Linked DNA regions of Lepisosteus oculatus. The protein of the gene in region 1 interacts with the protein of each later gene in a biochemical or structural test. Links are inferred from orthologs where the notes say so. Each region holds a gene or a part of one and is shown on either strand. Other genes may lie near its edges.

Region 1 (3,745 bases):
CAGCCCAGAGGGACCCTCCTGATCGGAGAGACCACCTGTCCGTATCGGGACAGTTCCCTCTCCAGCAGCTCGTTCCTCATGAACGGAGGCACGTTGGAGAGGGTGATCTTTCGAGCCGGGGCCGCGAGAGGCAGTACCGGGGTGAAGGTGCCGTCCAGGACAACTCCCTTCTCCACCAGGGTGTTTGCCAAATCGGTAGACTGCAAGAAAATGACTATACCTCCACTCATGCGGGAAGCGGACCTGATGTTCCTGCAGCCCACGACCTCCCCGACCGCAAGAACGCACCTCTCAAGCGGACAGAACTCCGCAGGGGAGATTTTCACACCATGGCGGCGAGTTAGTTTCTCAAAGGAGAGGTCTGGAGGATCAGAGCCTCCAGAACCGGCCATGATGAGAAAATAAACCCCGCTTTTCCCCAAAAAAGACAGAAAAACACAAACCCAGTGAAGAAAACACCGCCACACGATCAAACCCACCGAAGCTCCGCCCACTCACTCACTCAGTCTCGCGAGAAACACACAGAGAGAGAGAGAGGGGTTCATACACACACACCGACTGGACACTCCAGTACATTAACACTGCACTGAGAGAGAGAGGGGTTAATACAGACACACCGACTGGACACTCCAGTACATTAACACTGCACTGAGAGAGAGAGGGGTTAGTACACTCACACTGACTGGACACTCCAGTACATTAACACTGCACTGAGAGAGAGAGGGGTTAATACACACACACTGACTGGACACTCCAGTACATTAACACTGCACTGAGAGAGAGAGAGGGGTTAATACACACACACTGACTGGACACTCCAGTACATTAACACTGCACTGAGAGAGAGAGAGGGGTTCATACACACACACTGACTGGACACTCCAGTACATTAACACTGCACTGAGAGAGAGAGAGGGGTTCATACACACACACCGACTGGACACTCCAGTACATTTACACTGCACTGAGAGAGAGGGGGGTTCATACAGACACACTGACTGGACACTCCAGTACATTAACACTGCACTGAGAGAGAGAGGGGTTTATACAGACACACTGACTGGACACTCCAGTACATTAACACTGCACTGAGAGAGAGAGGGGTTAATACAGACACACTGACTGGACACTCCAGTACATTAACACTGCACTGAGAGAGAGAGGTTAATACACACACACTGACTGGACACTCCAGTACATTAACACTGCACTGAGAGAGAGAGGTTAATACACACACACTGACTGGACACTCCAGTACATTAACACTGCACTGAGAGAGAGAGAGAGGGGTTAATACACACACACTGACTGGACACCCCAGTACATTAACACTGCACTGAGAGAGAGAGGGGTTCATACAGACACACTGACTGGACACTCCAGTACATTAACACTGCACTGAGAGAGAGAGGGGTTAATACAGACACACTGACTGGACACTCCAGTACATTAACACTGCACTGAGAGAGAGAGGGGTTAATACAGACACACTGACTGGACACTCCAGTACATTAACACTGCACTGAGAGAGAGAGGGGTTAATACACACACACTGACTGGACACTCCAGTACATTAACACTGCACTGAGAGAGAGAGGGGTTAATACACACACACTGACAGTGTGACTGTGTTGTCTGTACCAGTACCCGGCAGGTACAGGTACAGGTAGCACTACAGGCTACGCTCCGTCGGTCCGTCTCTGTCTCTTCCTCCCGGTACCCCGCACTGCCACGCCTGGTCTGCTCCGACACGCACCCCCGCAAGACACCCCTCTCCCGCTGTGGGGTGCGGTGCTCAAAGCCGGAGGCGAAACACGCGTGGGAACCTGCCCCAAGACACCCTGATCGCCACCCGCCGTGCACAACACCACACTCCCCCCCATAACCGCGATGGCAGCGCCTTTCCGGCTGCAGAAACGCGAGCGAGAAGGACGCCCTTACCAGACCATCCCGTACGCGCCCTCCCCGATGTACTGCAGGTCCGTGTAGCGGGGCCCCACGTCGAAATTCTGCCCCTTCACCGACTCCAGGCCCGGCTTGGAGCCCCCGGCCCCCGTGGAGCCGGCGGCCGGCGCGGCGGCGCCCCCGGCCCCGGCTGGGGCGCCACTCGAGCCCGAGGCTGCGGCCGCCGCTGCGGTGGCTGTCGCGTCCGCCATGACTTCCGTGTTGTTGCGAGGCCGAGGTGCGAGTGTTTACACGGCGAGTTTGTGTCACTGTGACAGGGAGGAGCTAAGAGAGGAGGAGGAGGAGGGACCGGAGTGCGGATTAAGCCCCGTTTCGCACAAGAACAGGGAGCCGGGGACGGGGGTGGGCGAGCGCGTTTCTCACTGGCGGAGGGGGAGGCGCGCAGAGAGACGAGGCCTCGCCGGCCTGAGCGCAGAGACAGGACGCCCGGCCTCCTTCTCTCTCTCTCCTCCTCCTCTTCCTCCTCCTCCTCTCCCCCCTGGCGAGATGCGCGCTGCCGCCGAGGCAGTGCGCGGCCCCGACGACGCTCGCTGGCTCTGCACGACTGCGTGTCCGTGGGAGTGAGAGTGGGAGTGGGAGTGGGCGGAGGCGTGGGCGTGGGCTCGTTGCCATCCTGGCTTGGGAACCCCGTTTCGAGAAGCACAACACCGAACAAAAAAAAAAAACACGAGTCACGTCCCGACAGGTTGAGGCAGAGATGGACGGTGAACGCCCGCTCGCCCGGGGCGTCCGGAGTCTGAGCAGAAACCGCAAAAACAGACACACACATATATATATAGTTGAAAAAAAAATCTGTGTTGTATATTTCACGGCATTGAAAGATTTGTTGTTGTTGTTGTTGTTTAAAAAAATGCACATGAAATGAAACGAAGGTGCTAATCGTGCGAAATCACGCGTGGGCGCCAGAGCTGGGCACGCGGATTCTAGCTCATTTCTGAATTTCATCAGAATGAATACATTCCTCACACTCGTGCAGCGCGTTTCTGGACACACACACGCAGAGCGCTTTACAGGTCATGGGGATCCCCCCCACCCCCCACCAGTGTGTACCCCCACCTGGGTGATGTTCCAGTATTCTCCCCACACAGCAGCTCTCAGAGTGATGAGGACAGGTCAGAGGTCATTAATAATAGCCTTATACTTATATAGCGCCTTTCTGGACGCCCCGCTGGTGGTGGGGATCCCCTCCAGCAGCAGCAGTGTGGAGCCCCACCAGTGCGCTCACACACAGCAGCTCTCAGGGCGAGGAGGACAGGTCAGAGGTCATTAATAATAGCCTTATACTTATATAGCGCCTTTCTGGACGCCCCGCTGGTGGTGGGGATCCCCTCCAGCAGCAGCAGTGTGGAGCCCCACCAGTGCGCTCACACACAGCAGCTCTCAGGGCGAGGAGGACAGGTCCGAGGTCATTAGGGGTTACTAGGAGGCCAGGACTGGTCAAGACCAGGGGGACACCGGGGTAACACCCCGACTCTTTTATAGAGACACCCCGGGATTGTTCATGAGCACAGAGAGTCAGGACCCCGGTTTCACGTCTCATCTGAAGGACGGCGCCTTCTTCCAGTCCAGTGTCCCCGTCAGTGTCCAGCCCTACTCTTTTATAGCTCACCATCACTGGACTGGGGCATCAGGACCACACAGAGCGCAGGGAGAGAGCGCCCCCTGCTGGCCCCACTCACCCCTCTCCCAGGAGTCTCCCCTCCAGGTACTGGCCAGGCTCCCCCTGCTGGGCTCCAGTGGGGCTGCCAGGTGTGCCACTCACAATGAGAGAGAGGGGGGT
Region 2 (3,745 bases), on another chromosome or scaffold:
TCGCTCCGGAGATGGAAACAGCCCAGTCCTTTTACAAGACTACATTCGGAATCCTAACCATTCCTCCAAACCTTGGAGGTCAAATGATTTATCCCCGTGCCAACAGCACTGATACATGAGCTGTTAGTACAGTCTTGCGAGTCCGGTGTTTCTGAGCGCTTTCTGACCCCCGCGAGAAAACCCGAGCGCAGAGTTCGCTCTCCCAGCCGCGTGCGGAGCCCCGAGCCACAGGCAGGGCTGGCGCGCTCAGGAACGGACCCTCACGTGGCTGCAGGCAAAGCACGCGACAGAACGCAAAACAGGGATGCAAAGCAAACCCTAGCAAAGCCAAACGGTACATAAAAGATCTGTAAGTTAAATGTCATGCATGGTGTGAGCCGGTGCCTATATCTCTCTTTCTGCTAAAATCCATTTTGAGAACAGCTGGGAAAAGGTGCCATCGTCAGCGCAGTACTAGTACCAGCACAGGGGTTCTGCCCAGGTGCGAGCACAGCAGGCAGGAAAGCAAGAGACAGAGAAATTGGACTTTTGAGGCTTTTGGATGGAAGCTCTACCTCTTCTTGTACAGTCAGTGGCAACATTGCGACACCAGTGTAACATCCTGTTAAGCACAGGCTCTTTCCTGCCTGGGCCCTGTACTGTAACTGAGCCTGTGAGCCCAGACCTCTGTCCTGACCGCTGACAGGGCTGGGCTCCCTCCAGAACTGCCATATGATTTCTAACCCAGGTACCTGCCTGCCTGCAGAGGCAACCGGAAAGAGAGAGGGTATGGATCCTGAGGCCCTGGCTGAATTTCAGTTCATCTGTCCGCTTTGTCCCAGCAGTCCCATCCCCAGTCCTGGGCAGCTCCACACCTGCAGGGTCCAGTTCCAGCTGAGCTCAGAGTTACACCCCCGAGCCCTAATAACACAGGACTGACTGGAGCTCGTCGTTGTCTTCACGTCAGGAACATGCTGGAAGCTGTCTTTTAACTTTTTTAAGTTGTTTGTTAACTATTGCATTTCATATGTGACCGTGGTCTCCAGTTCCTAAGTAGATCAGCAACTTGCAAACAATCCAAATCAAGCGAGTTGCTAATTCAGTCAAGAATTCAACCAAGTAACGAGCTCCGCTGGAATGAAAAGCAGCAGGTTCCATTGCTCTGGCCTGGGGACATGATAGAGGCGTTGTACAGATGTTAGCGGTGTTATAATCGTCTGGACATGTCCAGGTAGTTTTCTCCTGTGGTTCGCAAGCCGAACGTTTTGGCTGAAGATGAGGAACGCCAGGAGAAATTGGCTGTAAGCTGCTTGGGTTAAAAGTGCCTGACTAATGAAGGACTGTGAAATGTAAGTGTAGACCTCAAACACACATACGAAGACCATGCAGCCTCCATACAGAAAGGTACCTGTCGCTGGAACTGAACCCCACTTCTTCCAGATACAAGCCGCCCCAACGTCAGTCCCTGACTGTCCCTGGTGGGGTTAATCGGCTCAGTCCCAGTGACAGAGAGCTGTGCCCCTCCACACCCCCTGCCGTCTCCATGGGCTGCCTTCGGCATTAACAATGTCATCATTCAGGACATTTTCATTATTACACTTAAAAAGTTCTGAGGTGATGTCTGACCTCTGGGCAAGGTAAATCTTCGGAGCGACTCCTGCACAGAGGTCTTCATCTCCGAGGCGCAGCAAGAGCAGGGGCTTGTCTTACTGCCTCCCAAAGGAGGAATGCCTGCAAAATCGTGCAGTTTTGCACCAGGACCGTGTGTCTGCAGAGCCATCTAAACATGCGGCATCTTCTGCAACACCAGCTGCTGCCTGAGGGGAGAAATGTCCTGGCCTCGATTCCTCTCCTCTTTCACCTTGATTTTTCATTGCTCGCTGGTAAGTCCTTACACTGCTGTAGTCACATCGCAATTACTAGACAGTAAACATGAACTACCACAGCACAGCGTCAGTGTTCAGAATAGACCTCTTCTCCACCTTACCTTGTCCCGGGAGCTCCTGCTGTCGTCCCAGACCCTGGTGGTTTTCCCCACGCCACTTGAAAGCCAAGTTTGCCTCTTCAGCGTCTTTCTCTTTGCTCAACTTCTCCCCAGCTGCTCTGCGTCTGCTGCTCCTGCTCCGCGCCCAGGGTCCGGTCCGGTCGGGCCTCAATACCCTCCTTCTCATCCACCCTTTCCCACCAGGACACACGCGAGCGGCAGGGAGCTCCGTCCGCTCCGGGCTAGGGGAGTGCCAAAACAGAGTCGCATCAGAAACCAGTGTCGCGCCGTGCAGCCCCCCTCTCCCCTCCCCATACAGCAGCCCGTCTAAAAGCCAGAGGAGACCTGGGCTGTGTGAGCTGCCCTGAGCCACAGACAGCAGGGTTACAGCTCAGACCCGCCGGGAACCAGCCAGTCCTGCTCCAGCTCCGCACTCACCTGAAGGCTGGCCAGTCAGGGGCTCCCCATGGCACCCCTCATCCCTCGATCCTCTTCGCGAGCGAGCTGCGAGCCAGGAGAGCTCCGACTCGGTGGCACCGGAGCTGAGCCTCAGCGCGAAATGAGTGTGCAGTTGAAAAAAAACGCAGGCTGTGTGTTCAGGAAGCTGCTGATCTGATGAGAGCCTCTTCTGGTTCGCCTCTCAGCTGCTTCCTCCCTGTGCCTCCCACACACGCTCCGGCCCACGTTCTGCCAGCCGGCTCTGCGCTGCCACCTCACCCGCCCGCAGCTGAGGGCTGCCTGCAGCCTGCCAGGGCCCTGCGGGGCACTGGGCACACAGGGAGCCAGAAAACTGCACTGAAAGCTGCAGGGGTCCTCTACTGTCAGGGCCCCCCCCCAGCAGTTAAGAAAACCACTTCCAACTGAGTAATTAGGAGCAGGAAAATGAAACATAATTAACTCTCTCCCACCCCTAGAATGTGCCGCACTGTTTTAAAGCCTCTCTGTGGAACCGGTGCTCCAGAAAAGCAGGAGACCCCCAGTTACAGGCCCGCTCGACTACCAGAAAGCACACAAGGGGACAGGCCTGCCCAGGACACACAGCACCTCCTGTACATGAGCCCACTCCTCCCAGTCTTTTCCCTTGATCACACCCTGTCTGCACCGTCACTTATTTGCTTTGCGATGATTTTGTTCTGTCGCCCTCATTTCACTACAGCTCTCTGTGCACTGAGCTCTATGGTACACAGAGCCAAAGTGTGGCACAAGTGTGTGAAAGCTTTGCCATCCCACTTTGCACGGTTGGGGCTGTTGGGGTCCGTGCTGTGCCACAATGCCTGGGAATGCAGGGGCATTCCCTCCGGTGACTTGGACTTCTCTCGAACCTGGGGCAAGATCTCCGGTCGGCTGCGCTCCCCACGCCCAGCTGGCTTGGCAGCGAGAGGCCAGGGAGAAGGCACCACTTGTTGCTCACAGACAGTCCTGACCAGAGTGTGTGTGTGACACAGAGCAAGTGGGTGTGAGTGAGTAACTGACTGAGTGGGTGTCAGATCACTGGGAGTGTGATAGGGTGCGTGGGTGCAGGACACCTTCCCCTTTTATCTGATCGCCGCACTGAATGTCAGAGCCCAGCAAAAGAGAAAAAAAGAGAGAAATTTACCAAACCTTCCCAATCAGCACTTCTCTTGTCGTGCACCAGAAGAGCTCGTGCTGGCCCCGAGAGCACGCCGTGCAGACAGCCTGCTGGGGTTACTGCTGCTGTGAAAATCAGAGCTGGGTTTCCAGTAAGAATGGTGATTAACTGGAAATGAGTGAGCTCTCTCCCTGTCCTGTCATTCTGTGACT
Region 3 (3,745 bases), on another chromosome or scaffold:
TGATCCACTGATAAACCGATCTGTCAAAGTAACACTGATACAGTCACCCAGGTCTTTACACACTCACACGTTTAAGACTCCCAAAGAAGATGAGCACTGAGCCAGTGGGGTTTTCACCAGCAGATGCAGGGAGAGTAGAGATTTATACAGAGCAGGCAAACCAGGGTCCCCCAACCCTGCTCCAGCCTGCTGGTGTTCCTCCCAGAATATCTTTCCTTAACTGAATTAATGAGTTCAACTGTAAACATTCCCCTGAAGGGTGCCTTTGCAGAATTTTCTTTTTCTGAGATGTTTTAACTCATGGGTTTAACTTATGAACTGCAAGGAGACGCTCTTGCTCCCCAGTATGATTAGGAGCAGAGGACTACTGAAGGTGTCCGGTGGATGCAACTGTCAGGCCAATCAAGAGTCTGATGCAGTAATGCAGAGCCCATCTGCAATGAAAACAAGCAGGCCCCTCAGCACCGGGGGATGTGTAACTGGAAGACTGCGGGTTCAAATCCTGGGTGGGACACAGCTGTCGGTACTTTGAGTGGCATATTTCGCCCTGAATTGCCCCTGTAAGAGACGCAGCTGTGCTGTGGAAGTGGAACTCCTTCGGGGCTCGACGGTTCAGGCCCGTCTACGCTTCGCAAGAGGAAAAGCTTTTGTGTCAGCCTCTTGCTTGACAAGAGCAAGCCAACAGCAACAACAGCAGCAAAGACAACAAAATAATACATAGAATAAATATTACATGTTTTTATTATATAATTTGGTATTAGTTCAGGTGGGTAGCTGCGTCAGCATGCGTAGGCTGCAAAGGAACAAGTAATAGGTTTATTCCATGCTGAAAAAAAGAAGAAAGAGAACACAACTTTTCGGCCGTGGAGCCTTCTTCAGGTGTGAGAGAGACAGGGCAGTAGGCAAAGGTAAAGTAGCGGGAGAACAAAGGTTGGGAGGGAGGAGGAGTGAGAGGCGGGAGCAGGGGACAGAAAGAGAGGCCATAATGTGGTATGACTGGTATAATATGGAATTACTCAAATTATATTAACAACCAAATATTATATATCAAATATAATAAAATAATACCTACAACAGTGTTACCACATGGTGAGTGGATTTTGAAAAACACTTCTGTTGTCAGAACAATTAAAAAAAAATCAGAGCACAGCCTTTATATTTTAAACTGAAACTGAAAAAACATCTTAGCTTAGAGCAAGCTTGGGAGAGAGCGCGATGCTTTGTATCCCTCTGAGTTACCACACAATTATTTGTCATTTTGGGGAAAAGGACAGGAAGGGAAGTTCACCTTTTTCAATTCTCCAAGCAGGTTCGGGGAGATAAGCATCTTAAAGGACGTCTCCGCGGTATTAGGGTTGTAATCGGACTTGGACGCTGCATTACCGCCCTCAGCCCGTACACACGCTCGGAGACACACGGGCGCACAAAACGTCAACAAGCCGAAACTGGTCATTAGAAACCAGCGGCGGGGTTTGAACCACAGCCATGAAAATTAAGTGATTGCACACCGACCTCTCAGAGCATTGGGAAATTGTTTACTTAGGTGTGTGTTCAGGTGAATTTAGGAGGGAATTTAAAATATAGAGACATCGGAAATAATCATTATACGTTATTTATGTTCGCTTTTAGGGGAAAACGTGGTGTCTTCAGCTGCACAGGCCAGTCTCTGGACACTGCTGGCCGGGTAAATGACTTTTGACTCTCGACTGCTTCGACATCCACGAGCTCTGGAACTGTAACGCGCGCGCCGGAGGCGGGGGGCGCTAGACTGGCTGTCGATGGTCTCGTCTCCTGCGCAGTCTTTCTTTTTTAAAAAAATAAATAAAACAAAGCTTTAAAAAAAAACCGTGCAACCCACGGCATTTTGCTCCGACACTGAAAAACCGTTCTGCTAGAAAAACCGATGCGCGACTCGAGTAAAAAAAAACAAACAGTGTGACATTTGAAAGTAGCAGCTACAACTCGCATCCAAGCCCTTGACAGGGGGAAAAAAAAAGTTTTGGTGCCAGTGCGCTCCTCGAGATCTAACCTACCAGGAGAGCAGCAAGTTTCCAAAGCGGGTGTTGGCGTTTATACGCGCGTAACTCTCGTTTATCCTGCCGACGTCTGCGCGGCGATGCTTGCAAGGGAATCACGGCAACAGACCTCTCGATTAACGGCCAGGAAGGCACCCGCGCACACGCTGGGCGATGACACTCCGCCGGGACACACGCCAAGCCCGGCCGCGGCGCAGCGCGCTAGCTGGGGCGGTCGATACGGTGTAGCCAAGCCTGCAGGCGCCGCGACACCACGGCCGCCCGTCCAAGCGCGGCGCTCCGCGGGCGCACTTACCACATAGCAGGGGGTTCGAGTCCATGTCTCAGGCGGCGGGGGTCCTGACGCTCATGCTGGAGGGAGAGGAGAACACCCGGCCGGGAGAGCGACGTCCACAAGTCGGTCTGGGGGCGAGAGGGTGGCGGGTGCCAACGGGCGATCGTCCAGCCCGATCCGGGGCTCTAATTATGTAATGACAGGGCTCCGACAAAGACCCGAGCCACCCCCATATTTCACCTCCGGACTTGACTGATGTGTGTGTTTGGGTTTTTGTTTTGGACGGCTTCACAGTCCTACAAGCAGCCACGGCGCATGCTGGCCTCCCATGTCCTCCTGCCCGGTCGCCGTGACGCCGAGCGCTGGCAGGTGAGGGTCTTTGGAATCGGCGAGGCTCGGAGTAGGAGACCCCCGTCTCTCTCTCTCTCTCCCCCCAGCCCCCCCACAACACACCAACCCCAACACCACCAGCACCGCCCCCCTTCCCAGCCGCTCTCCTCCGCTGCTCGCTCGGGTCCTGCTGTCGCTCCGCGAAGCGAGGTCACAACTCCCCGCCGCCTAGGCGCAACATGTCTCCGGGTACTCCGCCTGCTGTAACGGCGCTTGCTCTCGGCAGTCCATGACACGCGTGTCGGCCGCAAGCAAGCAGCAGCGGCGCCTCCCTCCCTCTCTCTCTCTCTCCGTCTACCTCAAGCGTCTCCAGTCCTCCCGTACTGTAAACCTCCGCGGCTGCGTTCCTCGCTTCCTGTTTCACAAACGCCTCGGCTGCGCTCGCCGCCTCTCGGCGCCCCCGCCCCCCTCTGTCGCCGGCGAGCGCCTGCAGAGTGAGATGTCAGCGTCACAGAACCCGTGACGTCAGCTATTTCCAGTAAAAAAAAAAGGAGGGGGGGGGCAGCAGCCAAAGACACCGTCACCCCCGCGAGCTGCTGCTCCGTCTAGTTCGTCGATACCTTTCGCTTCGATCGCGAATCCGTTCACAAAACATTCCCGCACAGAAATGAAATGCCAATTACGCTGAACTGCAGGTCGCGGGGGTTAACGGTGTTCGCCTCGCTGAAGCGACACAACGACGACGTCAGAACCTTGGCATATGTTGTATTTTAGAAGTGAAATACGAAATGTTACGTTATATTTCACAATGTGGGGGCTGCACACTGGTGGTGGTGGTGGAGGGGGTCCCCATTACCTGTAAAGTGTCGGCAATTATTAATTACTCCAAGTGCAACCACAGACTGCAACGCTTTCTCTATAAATTGCGTGAGGTGACACGAGTCTTATGATATAAAGCCTAAAGTTCAAACAAATAAAGATGAGATAAAAATAAACGCATAAGCCTCATACATTTATAGTGTTATTAATAATAATAATAATAATAATAATTGCTTACACTTATATAGCGCTTTTCTGGACACTCCACTCAAAGCACTTTACAGGT

Evidence for each region.
Region 2: the proteins of mitogen-activated protein kinase 1-like (region 1) and tyrosine-protein phosphatase non-receptor type 7 form a complex in vitro, tested with the Homo sapiens proteins (3 studies listed by BioGRID, with this or other methods). The link is inferred for Lepisosteus oculatus from reciprocal best matches to the Homo sapiens genes MAPK3 and PTPN7.
Region 3: of the proteins of mitogen-activated protein kinase 1-like (region 1) and elk1, one has a biochemical effect on the other in vitro, tested with the Homo sapiens proteins (6 studies listed by BioGRID and IntAct, with this or other methods). The link is inferred for Lepisosteus oculatus from reciprocal best matches to the Homo sapiens genes MAPK3 and ELK1.

What each region holds. Positions count from the first base shown.
Region 1 is NC_090699.1:2,585,344-2,589,088, reverse strand, and holds the start of mitogen-activated protein kinase 1-like, read right to left. Parts: upstream 2,522-3,745; 5' UTR 2,157-2,521; coding exon 1,942-2,156; intron 1-1,941.
Region 2 is NC_090700.1:40,442,205-40,445,949, forward strand, and holds the start of tyrosine-protein phosphatase non-receptor type 7, read right to left. Parts: upstream 2,571-3,745; 5' UTR 2,402-2,570; intron 2,206-2,401; 5' UTR 1,967-2,205; intron 313-1,966; exon of another isoform or gene 1-312. UniProt on the Homo sapiens protein: Protein phosphatase that acts preferentially on tyrosine-phosphorylated MAPK1. Plays a role in the regulation of T and B-lymphocyte development and signal transduction.
Region 3 is NC_090697.1:76,536,900-76,540,644, forward strand, and holds the start of elk1 (ETS domain-containing protein Elk-1), read right to left. Parts: upstream 2,754-3,745; 5' UTR 2,357-2,753; coding exon 2,332-2,356; intron 2,323-2,331; exon of another isoform or gene 2,034-2,322; intron 1,805-2,033; exon of another isoform or gene 724-1,804; intron 1-723. UniProt on the Homo sapiens protein: Transcription factor that binds to purine-rich DNA sequences. Forms a ternary complex with SRF and the ETS and SRF motifs of the serum response element (SRE) on the promoter region of immediate early genes such as FOS and IER2.